Linked DNA regions of Canis lupus familiaris. The protein of the gene in region 1 purifies or fractionates together with the protein of each later gene. This does not show direct contact. Links are inferred from orthologs where the notes say so. Each region holds a gene or a part of one and is shown on either strand. Other genes may lie near its edges.

What was found.
Region 2: the proteins of SMARCA4 (region 1) and BCL7B purify together in Homo sapiens (affinity purification with mass spectrometry; 6 studies listed by BioGRID and IntAct, with this or other methods). This does not show direct contact. The link is inferred for Canis lupus familiaris from reciprocal best matches to the Homo sapiens genes SMARCA4 and BCL7B.
Region 3: the proteins of SMARCA4 (region 1) and MYEF2 purify together in Homo sapiens (affinity purification with western blotting; 3 studies listed by BioGRID, with this or other methods). This does not show direct contact. The link is inferred for Canis lupus familiaris from reciprocal best matches to the Homo sapiens genes SMARCA4 and MYEF2.
Region 4: the proteins of SMARCA4 (region 1) and MYOD1 purify together in Homo sapiens (affinity purification with western blotting; 3 studies listed by BioGRID, with this or other methods). This does not show direct contact. The link is inferred for Canis lupus familiaris from reciprocal best matches to the Homo sapiens genes SMARCA4 and MYOD1.

Annotation. Positions count from the first base shown.
Region 1 is NC_049241.1:50,637,663-50,641,222, forward strand, and holds part of SMARCA4 (transcription activator BRG1), read right to left. Parts: intron 2,741-3,560; coding exon 2,567-2,740; intron 1,298-2,566; coding exon 1,130-1,297; intron 1,017-1,129; coding exon 966-1,016; intron 1-965. UniProt on the Homo sapiens protein: ATPase involved in transcriptional activation and repression of select genes by chromatin remodeling (alteration of DNA-nucleosome topology).
Region 2 is NC_049227.1:6,595,154-6,599,310, reverse strand, and holds the start of BCL7B (B-cell CLL/lymphoma 7 protein family member B), read right to left. Parts: upstream 2,812-4,157; 5' UTR 2,687-2,811; coding exon 2,595-2,686; intron 1-2,594. UniProt on the Homo sapiens protein: Positive regulator of apoptosis. Plays a role in the Wnt signaling pathway, negatively regulating the expression of Wnt signaling components CTNNB1 and HMGA1.
Region 3 is NC_049251.1:14,712,236-14,716,418, forward strand, and holds the start of MYEF2 (myelin expression factor 2), read right to left. Parts: upstream 2,812-4,183; 5' UTR 2,797-2,811; coding exon 2,606-2,796; intron 2,209-2,605; exon of another isoform or gene 2,129-2,208; intron 1-2,128. UniProt on the Homo sapiens protein: Transcriptional repressor of the myelin basic protein gene (MBP). Binds to the proximal MB1 element 5'-TTGTCC-3' of the MBP promoter. Its binding to MB1 and function are inhibited by PURA.
Region 4 is NC_049242.1:40,920,027-40,923,860, reverse strand, and holds MYOD1 (myoblast determination protein 1), read right to left. Parts: upstream 2,417-3,834; 5' UTR 2,198-2,416; coding exon 1,568-2,197; intron 1,090-1,567; coding exon 1,011-1,089; intron 763-1,010; coding exon 512-762; downstream 1-511. UniProt on the Homo sapiens protein: Acts as a transcriptional activator that promotes transcription of muscle-specific target genes and plays a role in muscle differentiation. Together with MYF5 and MYOG, co-occupies muscle-specific gene promoter core region during myogenesis.

The sequences.
Region 1 (3,560 bases):
ACACGCCAAAAACTGATATTGGGAGAAACCAATTAATAGATGAAGAAACTAGTGGATGGAAATCTGAGAACGTAAAATATGTTTAAAGAGCCTTGAGCATCTCTCCACAAGGTATTTAATAATTATAAAAGGAAAAGTAGGAACTTTTCATCACAAATGTCTTGGCAGACAGCAAGGAATAATGGTCAATATCACCAGTGACTGAAGACATCTATGCCATGCACTCCTGAGGTGACCCATGGAGGACACGGCGTCACTCTGGGCTCTACCTGCCAGGAACACATGACCTGAATCTAATCATAAAGAAACAGCAACTCAAACCCAAATTAAAGGCCCTGTAGGAAATACTTGGCTTGTGCTCTTCAGAAATGCCAAGGTCAGAAAAAGCTAAAAGGAAGTGAGGAGCCGTTCAGGATCAAAGGACTAGAAGGACCACCACTGAATGCGATGCATGGCCACACCTTAGCAAATGTTGGGGACGAGATCACGGTATTACTACAGCCGTGTTTGTTTCTGCTTGGTGATCACTGCACAGTTACCAAATAGGACCTTATTTTTAGGAAACACACTGAAGTGCATGGAAGGAAAGGGTCTTCATGTCTGCATCTGATTCTAAGATAGTTTAGGAAAAAAATGTGTGAGAAAATGGGGAACCCAGGTGAGGAAGAGGCAGGAATTCTTTGTCCTGCAATTATGTTAGAGTGAAACTAAAAAATAACAGCATGTACAAAAGAGAGAAGTCTGGAAGGAAACATGCCCAGGAACTGACAATCTACCCTCTTGGGAGTGGACTGAGAAGGGGTGGGATGTGGCAAGGGACATAAGTGGATTCTTCCCATTGTCATAGACAGTGCTGGTGATTTGAAAAGGAAAAAAAAAAAAAAAAAAAAAGTTAAAGGATGCAATAGATCTAAGCTCCCAAGGTTGGGCTGGCCCTTCATGAAAAGAAACTCCTGATTCCTTACCTCGCCATCAGGTCCGATTGCAGGCGTCTGTCCTTCTGCATTTTCTGCCTTCTGGAAGCAAAGAGAGACATGGTCACTTCCTGAATGGGGAGGTTAGGCACACATGCCAAGACAGCTGCTCCAGCCCCACCCAGGGCCAGGCACACGGCCAGGTCCCAGCACACCTTCTTTTTCTTTTTCTTCTTTTTCTCCTTGGCGACCTGGGCAGCCTTGTGCTGCCGCACCAGCTCCGTGAGGTTAGCCACATACTCATCTGTCTGCTGTAAGAGGTAGGCCAAGCGCTTGTCCTTCTTCTGGTCGATGAGCTTGCGGTACCCCTCCTCATCTTCAGCCTGCAGAAGGGTGAGGTTATGGTGCTTGCTTGCAAGAGACAGGTGCTCGTCCATTAGCGCCCCAGGCAGGGACCCCAGAGTCAAGAAGCCCACCGGGGGCTGTTGTTAACCAACAACCAGACCCTCACTAAGGGAGTGGTTAGCTTACACCAGAGCCGTGCTGTATGTACACACTTCACATAGCTGTCAACTTCTTAAGTATTTCCTCAACCCCATTTCCAGGGAAGACCCCAAGGGGGCCTGCTGGGCATACATGCCTTTGCCAGAAGTCTTTTGAAAAGGCCAACAGCCAAGTCCTGGACCCTCTGTCCAAAAACACACCCCAAATCCAACAAATCCAAGCACTGCTCTCCGGTCCGGGCCAGATTACTCTCACAGACCCATAAGCAGGCCCCTCCTGACTTTCTAATAATCAATCAGATCATGTCACCCCAGCTTACACCCTCCTGTGGCTCTCCCCTTCCCCCCGGTATACAGAATTAAATCTAAGCCTTCCTCATGGCCTACAAGGCCCCCTTGACTGCCCTAGGACTCTGCCCTTGCTCATGTCCTCCCCGCACCATTCCAGGAGCACCTGCTATGCCTCACACTTGGTGTTCTGTTACCTGAAGCTCTTACCCTTGCTTCATACAGTCGCCCTCTATCCCTGGGAGACACCTCAGGGAGACATGCTCACCCTTCCCATAAAACCCCCATCAACCCCCATTCCCTCATCCTGCTTCATTCTCTCTGGTGTACTTCCCACCACCTAAAATCACCTTGTTTGTTCAGCCTGGGCATCTGTCTCCCTAGGGCCAGCAGGAGTGGCTGTGAGGGGAGAGACCGCATGCTTCTCCGTGCTGCCGTGGCCACATACATGCACCAGTGCCTGTCAGTATCTGCCCAGCTAGAGAATCCCCCCAAACAGCCAGACACAGAGAGTGGGGAGGAAGGACAGGGATCACATCATCCGTCACGAGGAAGGACAGGGATCACATCATCCGTCACTATCCCGACCTGGAGTATACGCCCCCTCCATTTTCTGGAGAGAACACAAGAGCAGCCAGCTAACCAGCCTAAGGTTTTTGCGATCACTGATGGAACGAACAGGCAAAGGTCTCAGGCCAGGTCTTCTGGATTCCCAAACCCAAGTCCTTTCTTTCTCTCTGTCCCACCTCTAACTCTTAAACCTCAGCATAACACTGGGCAATCAATCCCTGGTGCCTGCCATACCCAAAGCACCCTTGACCAGACACAAAGGCACATGATGTCACGGAGGCAGAAATTTACCATGAGTCTCCGCATTCTCTCTTTCTCAATTCTTTCATTTTCCTTCTTCTGTTCCCTCTCCGTGTTGGCGTGGTACGTGGCCACCGCCTTCGTGAGTTTCTGGATTTTGCCTGTGACCGATCTGTGATATTCTTTGAAATCCTTGGCATGCTGCAGAATGCTGTTGAGGTATTCCTGCAGGGATATATACAAAAGAGAGAACTGGCTACTCCCCAGGGATTGCTGTAGCATTGGTGCAAAGGAAGCAAAGCTTTAAAAAGGCAGCTTGTTTAAAACCAAGATGACGGGGGATCCCCGGGTGACTCAGTGGTTTAGCGCCACCTTTGGCCCAGGGTGTGATCCTGGAGACCCAGGATCGAGTCCCGCATCAGGCTCCCTGCATGGAGCCTACTTCTCCCTCTGCCTGTCTCTCTCTCATGAATAAATAAATTAAAATCTTAAAAAAAAAAAAAAACAAGATGACGTAATCAAAACAGTATGACAAGGACACTGTCTGCCTCTGAGGTTCGGCGTTCTCTGTATCAGGAAAACCCAAGGCTGGGGACTATGGTGAATAGACAGGGCTATCCGCTTCACTGAAACAATCTGGCAGTAACCACTTTAAAACGCTCTTCCCCTCCAAACAAGTTATTCTACTGCCAGGAATTCCCTTTAAGGAAAGGGGCAGATATTGGCCAAAAAAAATCAAGTTCAAGAATGCCTATTCTAGTATTATTTCTAACACTGCAAGGTTAAGAATATGCAACACGTGACCAAACGGGGAAACGGTTACAGAAGTTACTAGATGTGAACACAGAGAAGGAATCCAACGTAGATGCTGAATGTCATTCTTCCATAACACTTAAAAACAAGCCAGTGGGTGTATAGATTTGTTTAAAGAAAGCTATTTAACTTTTGAATACTCTGCGTACAGAAAACCAACATGAGTGATGCATACCAAAATGTAAACAACAGTGGTCAACGCTGAGTATTGACTTTAATTTTTAAACTCTAC
Region 2 (4,157 bases), on another chromosome or scaffold:
GGGTCCTGGGATTGAGTCCCATATCAGGCTCCCCACAGGGAGCCTGCTTCTCCCTCTGCCTATGTCTCTGCCTCTCTGTGTCTCTCATGAATAAATAAATAAAATCTTTTTTAAAAAGTTAAGCCTAAAAAAAAATTTTCCCCCAGTTTTGGGGGAATGCAAGTGACATTCTTGAATAAGGATTAGATTATGGACAAGCAGAGCTGGGGAGCCTGAAGAATGACTTGTGAAAGTTTCAAATCCAAATGTGAGGTTCCAGAAAAGCAAAAAAAGCAAGTGTTGTGACTGCTGATATTGATGATGCCGTTCAACAAACAGAAAGAAGAATCAACTACAGACTTAGCAAACTGAAATTAATTCCTGGACTGAGCACTCCACTTCCTCATGATCCTGTGCTAGACCTTGGGCACACAGGCAGCAAGATGTACAGTCCCTACCCTCACAGAGCCTCATTCCAATTGGAAACAGAAATCAAACAACTCATTTCATAGTTGCTTAATCATTAGACTTAACCACATCAAACTGCCACTTCAGTTAAGTTAAAAAGTCAAATATAGGAAATGTCTTATTGGGATCCCTGGGTGGCGCAGTGGTTTGGCGCCTGCCTTTGGCTCAGGGCGTGATCCTGGAGACCCGGGATCGAATCCCACGTCGGGCTCCTGGTGCATGGAGCCTGCTTCTCCCTCTGCCTGTCTCTGCCTCTCTCTCTCTGTGACTATCATAAATAAATAAAAATAAAAATAAAAAAAAAAAGGAAATGTCTTATTATTCAATCTAATACAATTGTGGAAAGTTCTATGAAGGGGACCTGATTTAGATTAGAAATCTTAAAAGGTGTCCCTTGAGAAAGCAATTTTTGTGAGTAGTTAACTGGTCAAGGAATGAGTAGTTAACTAGTCAAGGAGGAGAAGGTAGATGATACCAGGCTTCCTGTGGCTCCCGCTGAAAGATGGCAAGCCACACGGGGAAAGAGGGCAGTCTGAGCCAGTCCAGTGAGGTAGGAAGACCATCTTTGGTCTTTAACCTAAGAGCAAGAAGAGGTCACTGAAGCATTGTTTCTATAGCAGGGGAATGCTATGATAATATTTACACTGAAAAGTGAAATCACTCTGAGTGCAATGTGATGAATGGACTGGGTAATGAGAGTTGAAGAAAGCCAAGAGTTCCAGATGAGAGAGGATGGTCCTCTGGCCAGACTGCTGGGGCTGGGGGTCAGGGTTCAGCAGAGATGGCCAGAAGAAAAGGAAAGGTGTGCTGATTCTTAGGTTTCACCAAAAAACAAACAAACCCCAACCCTAGGAGGATTAGATTTGGAGGGAAAAAAATCATTAATTATTTAATATATATGAATCTCAACTACATATAAAGCTCTTATATATAAAGAAATAAGGAGGGGCAGCCCAGGTGGCCCAGTGGTTTAGTGCCGCCTTCAGCCCAGGGTGTGATCCTGGAGTCCCGGGATCGAGTCCCAGGTCAAGCTCCCTGCGTGGAGCCTGTTTCTCTCTCTGCCTGTGTCTCAGCCTCTCTCTCTCTCTCTCTGTCATGAATAAATAAAATCGGAAGGAAAGGAAGGAAGGAAGGAACTTGTGAGGGAGGGGGATCCCTGGGTGGCCCAGCGGTTTAGCGCCTGCCTTTGGCCCAGGGCGCCATCCTGGAGTCCCGGGATCGAGTCCCACGTCGGACTCCTGGCACGGAGCCTGCCTCTCTCTATGTCTATAATTAAATAAATAAATAAATAAATAAATCTTAAAAAAAAAAAAAAAAGGTACTTGTGAGGGAAACGAAGAGACACGCAAAAACAAAAACAACACCTGAAGTAATGATGCCCCTGGAGTGGATAGAGGTCTCTGGAAGGAAGGCTAACCCCTACCTGGGCTTTAAAACTATTACTAGCAGTCGGCCAGATTAAAAGACTCAAGAAGTTGGAGCAAACAGTTGGCTGTTAAACTTTTAATGTGATGATGCATCGAAGTTCCTGATACAAAACAGGCGGCCAACCGGCCCTGCAATGAACATCACACAAGCCGTTTCCAAATGAGGGTAGGTCTCGACGACTGCTTTATCAACAGCCTACCCAGCTGGCGGCGTGCGGGCCAGTGCACTGGGGGGAAAGGCGGGTTTTGATTCCCTTGACCACGGCTGCTCCCGTGACAGGTTTAGCGAGCAGCTCTCACCAAACTTAAAACGAGTTAACACGTAGAGCGCTCGGCCTGGCTGGCGGGAAACCCCCCGAGACTGTCAGCTACCACGCCGGGCAGCTCAGAGGCAGCAAGGCTCCCGAGACCCGCCGGGTGGGGCGCGGCGCGCGAACGAGGCCACGCAGCCACCACGGCGGCCGGAAGCCCGCAGCCCCTCCGGGAGACGCGCGGCCCTCGGGCAGGTGGGCGGGCCCGCGAGCCGGGCGACCCCCTGATTGGCGGCAGCCGGCGCGCCCTCTGACCTCACGCCGACGCGAGCTGCACCCTCCTCCCGCCTTCTCCCGCTCCCCCCTCCCCCCAGCGCCTGCCGGTCGGCGCCCACCCCGCCAGCCAGTCTCGCGCTCCTCTGGGCCTGGGCTGGCGACCCCGCCGGCACCCTCGGGTCCGGCCCCTCACCATTTCCGCACTTTCTCGATGGCCGCCATCACCTTCTTGATGTCGTCCTTGGCCCGGCTGCGGGTCTCTGCCCGGACCGACCGGCCCGACATGGCGGCAGCGGGAGCGGCGGGGGCCGGGGCACTGCTCCCAAGACCCAGGGAATCGCGCGCCTCACGCACCGCCGCCTGCCCGCCGCAGCAGCGTCACCGCAGCCGTCGCCCCCTCCGTGCGCGCGTGCGCGAGGAAGCGCGCGCACCCGCCCGCCTCTTGGGGCTCGAGGCCTCAGCGCGCCTGCGCGCCCCGCCCCGGGCGGCCCTCCCTGGGCGCCCCAGGAGTCTCCCGTCTGCCCCCGTGCAGGCCGCGGTTCGCGAAGAGCGGCGGCACGTGCTGCGGGCAAGGCGAGGTGCGAGGCGCTGCCCGTGGGCTCCCTTTCGGGGTTTGGAGGTCGGCACCTTTGCCCTCTTGCCGGGGTTGCTGCCTTTAGCTACGTGTTATGCATTTGACCCGAACGGGTGCGCGGTTCTGTTGCCTCTCCTCTCCAGCTCCCTTGCTTTCCGGATAGTACTGTTGTGCTCTAACCACAGAATCTCACACCTTAATTCAGTATATTCTCCTAACTTGGCACACACCGGCTCCCTTCCTGGAATTCTCATCACTTTACCTGTGAACTGACCACGTAGTCTACTAACATCCAGATCCAACTCAGAGAAGCCTTCCCCTGCTATCCTCAGGTTCCGCTTAGCACTCTACATCACTGTCTGATTTAATCCTGCAGTCGTTGACTGAGTGGTGCTTGCGTTCTGCAAGGCTACGTGGCCAATGCTGAGGACAAAACCTGGGTTTTTGCCTTCAAAGAGCTTCCAGTTCAGAACATCCAGACCAGAAAACAGGCCTTTTAAATGCCATTTTATGAATGATAGGCTAAAGTAGTCCTAATCCAAATAAGGGGTGTCCAGAGGCTTCCGGGAAAATATAACCTTGAAGTCGACCTCTGAAAACGGGATACAAGTGCAACTGCTCCAAGACATGTGTCCACACATTGTAGAACATGCTCAATAAATATTTGGGTGAATGTTGAATTTTGAGAGCAGCTTCTTTGCTCTCCATTCCCTCCCCCATATTTATTGATGCCTGCGGTATTTAGGGAGGCTTCATAGAGTAACAGCCTCAGGAGACATAAAGGAAGCAGGTGACAGTTTGCATTGATTGATTGGCAGTGGTTACTTCTCTCACCTCTAGAGAAACCTCCTTCTGTATGCCTCAGAAAAATGCCTAGCTAACTCGAACTCGACACAGCCTCTGACTATGTTCAGGCATTCATGACTAACATCACGATTTGATAAGCATATGCTGTCTTGCTAATGAGAAGCCTGGGAATAGCATCTGACTGACTGAGGACTGGAAGAGCTGAACCAGCATGTGGAGAGAAGGGATGATTCTAGAACTAATGGGATCAGAGGTGGCCTATCTGTTTCTCAAGCCCAACTGATCCAAAATAACTCAATGCAAGTACAGCCTGAGCACCTGTTATATGCCCTAGAGTATGTAGGCCACTGTGATGCCAAGATGAGTAAGATACAC
Region 3 (4,183 bases), on another chromosome or scaffold:
GTCCCTAATACGATTTTAAAAGAGTGCTTTAGTATAAGATCTAAAATTATGCGCAGTTCCATTCTTTATTCCTAATATAAAAAATATTACTCCACCTCACTTTGCTTCACGCTAAATGCTTAGGATCTTACGCAATATTTTATACCCTAATGTAACTCTCAATCTTCAAATACAGTGTTACTTAATTACACAGAAATAATGAAGAGTTGTAACAATACTGCTATTTTTCCCCCTCTTTCACTTAAGGAGAACTGGCATACCACTTTGGCATAAACAAAAAGACTAAACCTAGGAAGACATCTTTAACTTCTCAAAAGATGTGAACATGCCCACGAAATCCTCTGTGTGTGTCATGATGATAGAAGTTCACGTCTGCACTTCTTACATAAATTTACTGGACCTTTTTAAGTATAAGGCCTTGGGGATACAAAGATGAATAAGACATAGTGGTCTCCATCCTCAATGACTATGGATTAACCTCAGAAAAGTCATTTTAATCTTGGTAGGTGGCACCCTGCTCAATGTTAAGCAATACATATTTTACATTCACATACTGTGAATTCTTATCCTTAAAAATGTAAGGTAATCAAATCAAAAGTTATGTGTTGGATTGTTAACTACTCCAGTTGGTTCATAGGGTCAAATAAAGGTTGTTAGGTTGATGCAGGTAAATGTCCCCAGTGATTCAGCATGAGCGACCCATGCTGGACCACTATATGGTTCTCATGGAACTGACAGTACAAGAAACCCTTGGGAATAAATTTGCATCTTTACTCAACTTTTGGGAAAAAAGAGTGAGAGATGAATTATAAGTAACATGAAAAGCATCTTCATTTGTACTTACTAGTAACATTTCTTAACTTCACTTTATATTCCCCCCCACCCCCCTTCTTCAATTAGAAGTGAGAGATTCTTTTCGTAGGAAAGAATCGTAGGAAAAAAATCTCTCCTCTCCTGTCCAGCTAAACCACAATGAGACTTTCAAAGGGATTAGAGACTTTCAGATCTGGGAGGTTTAGATGCCAGCTTTATCTGTACTGACACTATTATAGTAATCACACCCAAGTATAGTAGGGCTTCTCTCTGTAATTCAAGGCTGTACTTCTTGTTTGGGAGAATAGGGTGGCAAGTCCATGTCTGATGTAAACAAAAAGCACGTATTTTATCATTCCAATGCTTTCTATTCAAATTTATGATGCCGAATCCCAGAGAGCCCACATTTTGGCAGGCATGGTACAAAGTGCTCGCTTTCCAGCTGCTCAGTTCCTGAGGTGCACCACTTTGCACCTAGGAACAAATCCCACGGAGGTCGAATCTCTTCTACCTGCACCTCTATTCTGCCTGGAAGATGCAATCTATCCTATTCAAACCCAACTGAAAACAAGAGGGTTCAAAGTGAGCTGCGAGAGCTACCTCATCTGCCCTCAACCCCTACACCAACTAGTTCAGGTCTTACCCTCCTGCTTCAAACATTTTACACACACACACACACACACACACAAAAAAACACTTTTCTTTCCTATTTTAGGGTGACCGTGTATGTTCACCGCTCTCTGAGGCACAACTGAAGAGAAGGAAAAGGATGTTTTTTTTGTTGTTGTTGGTTTTTTTTGTTTTTGTTTTTTTGTTTTTTTTGTTTTTTTTGGCTAAAGTAGTAACAGACTTTCCAAGTTTAAAGAGCTGGGCACCTGCAAAAGAATGCCTGATTCACAGCACCTGTACGACAAGAACAATGGGGGAGCGTGTTTTCTTATAAACTAGAAATTATGGATTCGACGCAACCAAATCCTTTATAAGCATTGGTGACAGGGGCAATCTTAAAAGCAGCGGGCTTTCTTCGATTTTTAAACAACAACAACAAAAAAAATCTTAGTTTACCATTTTACCAAAATCAAGAACAAAACCATCACACAACGAGTTCTTTAAAAAAAATAATGATGACCTGTATAGCTGACTTACACACACCTGCGGGGGCGGGAGCGGTGGGGGTCAAGGCACCAACGCACATTTTCCTTTCGGAATCACCTCTTAACCAATGCAAGAATGACACAATGGATTCAGGCTAACCGCGCATTATTAAACTCCCCCCTTGGCATACATAATCCGTTCGGAAAATGAGATCATATACTTTGGAAACAGCAGCAGCAGCAGCAAACACCGAACTCACGAAGCTCGGGATGAGGCCGGGAGATGGGGGGCGGGGGGAGGGGGAGGGGGAGCCGTTCCTTTGAAACGCGTTCCCCGTGGTTGGGAGGAAATGCCCGATGATGTCATCCCTAGTTACTCCCTAGCGATGAACACCAGCTACGGGGCTGGGCTTTAAAAGGGGGACCATCTTCCCGCGGACGGCGGCGGCCGCGGAGCCCGGCTCCAAGGCTCTCCCCCGGGAAGGACGCGGCGCCCCGCGCGCGGCGGGAGGAGGAGGCCGGGGGGGGGGGGGGGGAGGCCCGACTCGCACCTGCGCGCCCGCCGCCCGCCGCCCACGCCCGCAGCGACCAGGCCCCAGGCCGGCCCTGACCCCCCGCCCCGCCCCGCCCCGCCCCCCGTCCCAGGCCGACTCCCCGCCCCCCCACCTCGCCCCGGTGCCCGGAGGAAAAGACAATACATTTTAACGCCATTGGAGCTGCTGCTGCCGCTGCCGCCGTGCTGCGGAGGCTGCTTCTCCGGCTCCGGCTCCGGCGGGTGCGGGTGCGGGTGCGGGTCTCGCCGCGGCTCGCCCGGCTGCTCCGCGGGCTGCTGATGCGGGCTGTCGTCGCCGGCGGCCCCGAGCACCTCGGGCTTGTCGGCGTCCGCCATCCCGCCGTCGCTGCCTCCGCCTCCGCCCCCGCCTCCGCCTCGGCCGCCTGCGCGGAGGGGCTCCGAGCGCTGCAATGGCGGCGGCCGGGAAAGCGGTAACGGATCCCGATTTGAAAAGGCCCCGAGCGCTCAGCGGCCCGGATCTCGCGAGAACCGGCCGGAGCCGGGAGACTAGGCGAGGGTGTGAGCCGGGCGCGGGGGGTGGGCGCGGAGGGGGAGGGGAGGGGGCGGGGGGGGGGGCGGCGGGCCGGGGACGCCGGGGCCGCAGCCCGCCCTGCGCGAGCCCGGGGGCGGCCTGACGTGCCCGGAAGCCCCCGATGGGGCCCAGCTCTGCCCACCAGCCCGCCCGCCGCTGGACGCCCACTGGGGTCTCCGCGTACAGAAGTCGGCCCCAGGGCTAGAAATCCCTTGAGCTCCGAAACCCACACTATTCGATCCATTCCTGGGACGGGGCAGTTTAAAGAAGCACATACCACTTTGCATCTTTAAAGACCTCTGCAAATGCACATACCACTTTGCATCTTTAAAGACCTCTGCAAATCTTCAGACACACACCCCTCCCCCCCCCCTTAGAAATCCTTTGAATAATGCAAATAAATCACTTGCTACTTCAATGCCTAGGCACTCTGTGGACATCCAATATACAGTCATTGACGACAGGTTGCAATTCACCAAAATGAACAGCTTTGAATTTCTTTGCATTCTGGTTGTTCTTAAGACAGACGCTTTAGAACTCAGCCATCAGCTTCCAAAAAGAAGGCTGGAAGTTTTCGAATTCTCTGGGCAGCAACCAATGAGGAGAATCTATAATTTTAATAAGAAATCTTCTGCTAGACTAGCTGATAATGGACATTTTGGCTTGGAGTTGTGTTATTTTTATGTTGATGAAAATTACATTCGAAGCAGTTATGGGCTTTCAAACATTTAATTACCATATGGAGTTTTAAGATATACTCATAGATTTTCCCAAATATGAAAAAGTAACCCGTTAAACATAATCAACTACTAACTCCTGAAGACTGATAATATTTCACATTTAAATAGCCTTTGTCAGCTGAGAAGTTTAAAGACCTTCTCAAATGTTTCTTCTGGTAAAGAAGCAAACCTGTATGGTTTAGGTGCTTTGCAGAGTATCACACACACATTAGTAGTCAAGTGGTAGTTTGAAGCTAACATTCAGGGACACCTGGGTGGCTCAGTGGGTGAGCATCTGCCTTTGGCTCAGGTCATGATGCTGGCGTCCTGGGATGGAGCCCCACATCTGGCTCCCTACGGGGAGCCTATTTCTCCCTCTGCCTATGTCTCTGCCTCTCTCTCTGTGGAAAGAAGGAAGGAAGGAAGGAAGGAAGGGAGGGAGGGAGGGAGGAAGGAAGGAAGGAAGGAAGGA
Region 4 (3,834 bases), on another chromosome or scaffold:
CTCGCGCAGCGCCGGGGCAGAGCAAAGTCGCCGGTGCTGGGGAGCGAGAGGCCACGCCCCCTTAGGCTACAAAGTAGCGGGGCTCGGGGAGAAGAGGCCACGCCCCCTTAGGCTACAAAGTAGCGGGGCTCGGGGAGAAGTGGCCACGCCCCCTTAGGCTCCCCCGGCGCCCGGAGGCGGGGCTTAGGTCTGCGCGGGTCCCACCCCGCGCAAGAAGGGGAAGGGTCTGGCCCCTCAAGAGTCAGCTCTGGCCCAAGGAGGGACCCCTAAAGGCCATCGCAGCGAGTCTCAGGGAAGGGTGTTGCGTGGAAAAAAAGGACTGTGTCCTTACTGTGGAGCGCGGGAGTGGAAACACACAAACAGTTCTCCCTCCGCTCCCAACTCGGGAGGGGTCGCTTTTAAAGCGCGGTTGGGAGTGGGGCTGGCGTTTAAGCTCAATCTTTGGGGCGCGGGGGGCGCCGTCCCTCGGGCGCGTGGGCAGCGGAGGCCTCCCATGCGGCCGCCCACCCCCTCAGAGCACCTGGTAGATGGGGTTGGGGTTTGCGCCCGCTGGGCACTGCGGGGCGGCGTCCGGGGAAGGGGTGGGGGCGCCGCGCTCCGCGTCGCTCTGGGCGGCGGCCTCCTGCGGTCCGGGAGACGACTCCGGCGGCGCCTCGGCCAGCAGGAGCGCGGGCGCCGTGGGGCTCTCGGTGGAGATGCGCTCCACGATGCTGGACAGGCAGTCGAGGCTCGACACCGCAGCACTCTTCCCGGGCCTGGGTTCTGCGCGGGGAGGGGTGGGTTAGTGGCGGCTGAGCCGCGGACAGGCCTCCCGCCTCCGGGCTCAGTGCTTGGGGGCAGACGGGAACCTGAGGACCCAGGGAGAGCACGGAGCGAAAAGGGAGTGGGCTGCACGCTTAGTATTTCATTCCCTGTACCGTCTCCGGGATTAGGGGGAGGGGGAGGTCCAGATAGAGGGAAGCCGTGGCAGCTCAAAGCGGGTAACGTGGGAAGGAGGCGCAAATACGCACCGCTGGGCGCCTCGCTGTAGTAGGTGCCATCGTAGCAGTTCCGCCGCCGGGCACCGCTCGGGGGGCCGCTGTAGTCCATCTGCAAACGGCAAGGGCAAGGGCGACCGAGTCAGGCTCGGGGACCGCGGGGGGCCAGAGCATCACTCTCTGTAACCACCTGCCCCAACTCCCCATGTCTCCGCCACGAGATCTGGGCCCTGGCTGGGGGACAGGGGCGGACGGAGATTGTCTGCAATCTCCCGGGCCAACCAGCGCGTGGACAGTCGCCTAGGAGCATAAGTCTATTTTGTAAATAGGGATGAGTGCAGAAAAGCACAACTCCAGGTCGCTGCAGCAGAGCTCTAACAGCGCCCCCGGCCGGGTGGATCGCATTTGTCCCGTGCGCCCCCAGAGCATCAGGCCACCCCGGTGACGGCTGCTCAGGACACCAGGGTCCACTCCCCAGAAGGTTCCCGGCCCAAACCTCCCTCTGGAGGGCCAACTCCCCGCCTTGTGCAACGCGTCCCAGATACAGCAAGAGCTGCCCTCACTTCTCTAGCTCGGGGTCCTGGCCTTACCATGCCGTCGGAGCAGTTGGAGCGCGGGCTGGACGCGTCGGAGTCGCCGCTGTAGTGTTCGCCGCCACGGCCTGGGGGCAGCGGGCCAGGCGCGTAGAAGGCAGCGGCGGCACCAGGGGGCGCGGCGTCCTGGTCGCGCAGCAGCGCCTGCAGACCTTCGATGTAGCGAATCGCGTTGCGCAGGATCTCCACCTTGGGCAGCCGCTGGTTCGGGTTGCTGGACGTGCAGCGCTTGAGCGTCTCGAAAGCCTCGTTGACTTTGCTCAGGCGGCGCCGCTCGCGCATGGTGGCGGCCTTGCGGCGGTCGGCGTTGGTGGTCTTGCGCTTGCACGCTTTGCAGGCCCACAGCAGACAGCGGCCGGCCTGGTGGTGCCCGCTGGGAGCGCGCACATGCTCGTCCTCGCGCGCGCCTGGCGCAGGGTGCACGGCCGCAGGGAAGTGCGAGTGCTCCTCGGGCTTCAGGAGCGCGCCCACGTGCACGAGGCGCGGGTCCAGGTCCTCGAAGAAACGCAGGTCGGGGGAGTCGAAACACGGGTCATCGTAGAAATCATCCGCCGAGGCGAAGTTGCAGAGGGAGCCGTCGGGGCCGCTCAAGTCTACGTCGCGGAGCGGCGGCGACAGCAGCTCCATATCCCGGCAGGGGGTGGCGCAGTCCCGGCTTCGCCAGGGGTTGCCCCAAACTTTCTGCCTCTCCGCAGCCCTGGCCGTGCGATGGTAAAGTACGGGGTCGTCTGAATGGACACCCGACTTTCCCCCCCTCCGCCGGGTCCTGTCGGGCCTGATGCGCCGGTGAGGAAAGCGGCTGCAGCGCCCCGGGGCTTCCCCACCCCTAGCCTCACGCCAGGCGCCCGGGGCTATTTATCCCGTAGTAGCTAAAGGGCCCCAGAGCGGGAGCGGGCGGCTGGGGGCGGGGGCGCCCGAGGCCAATAGAAACGGGGTGGGGAGGAGCTTGGGATCCCCAGGGTGGCCGCTGGGGCAGGAGACTGGCCAGCCCCCTAGCCCTCGACCCCCGCGCGCGCGCTCCCGCCCCTCCCCGGGCTGGGAGCGAGGCAGAGGCTGGCAGCCCCACGCGGCTGCACTCGGCTCGCGGGCGCGCTCGCTCCAAACCTCCCCGCGCCGTCCGCGTCCGGCGCCCTCGGAAAATGTTGGCCGCGCGCGCCCAGCTCCAAGCTGACTTTGGGCTTCCCTCTGTCCTAGGATTTGTGGGGGACCCAGGTGCAGGGGATGAGTAGAACAGATCGCGAGGGATTTGGAGAGAGACCCGTGGCAGTGGGGCAGAGACACACTCAGAGCGGAGATAGTGAGACAGTGAGAGATACGGCCAAGAGATAGAGACCGAGCAGAAAGCTAGAGGCAGAAGCAGAGAAACCTGCGGCGAGACATAGAGTCCTGGGGGCGAACCGGAATCCCTGGGTGGCGCAGCGGTTTGGCGCCTGCCTTTGGCCCAGGGCGGGATCCTGTAGACCCGGGATCGAATCCCACGTCGGGCTCCCGGTGCATGGAGCCTGCTTCTCCCTCTGCCTGTGTCTCTGCCTCTCTCTCTGTGTGTGTGTGTGACTATCATAAATAAAAAAAAGGGGGGGGCGAACCTGAGATAAACTGGATGCGGCGGCCGGTCCTCGGCCAGTTCCCACCTGGGGAGTCGCTCAGAGGGCGGAGGGCCCAGCCCACCTTCCCCGCCCGCCCGCCTAGGAACAGAGCCGCATGGTGCAGAAGAGGAGGATGGCTGCTGACCCTTGGCGCCAATCTCGCCAAGCCCAGGTCCTGCCCCAGGCTGGAGGCAGGGAAGTGCACTCCTGCCCAGCTCGACCTGTGTGTTTCCGCAGCGGAGTGTCCAGTGCGGGGCTGGGTGGAGATGTGTCTTCAACTGGGAAGAAAACTGTCTGCTCCGGTTTTGCCTCCTTGTTGCGTGCAGCGCTGCACCAGCGAAGTTCACTGCGCAAAGGCCTGGAGCGTCGGGACTCAGCCTGGGAACCCCACATCAGAGTGGAATCTTTGAGAGTAGAGCTTGCAGACCAATGACCTAAGTCCGAATCTGGATCCCACAGTTTTCCTGTGTGATTTTTGCGGAAGTCACATCGCCTTCCAAGCCTCCCGTTTCCCCAGTTTGTAAATTTGGAGATAATAAGAGCGATTTCTTGGAGCGATTGTGGTGGTGGTGAGAATCTAAAGACACCAAAAGATGTGGAGGTCCTCAGTCGGAGGTGCAAGGCTGTATTCTGGAGAAGGCTTGCTTCTGTCGCTGGCACAGACAGGAGTGTGTGCTC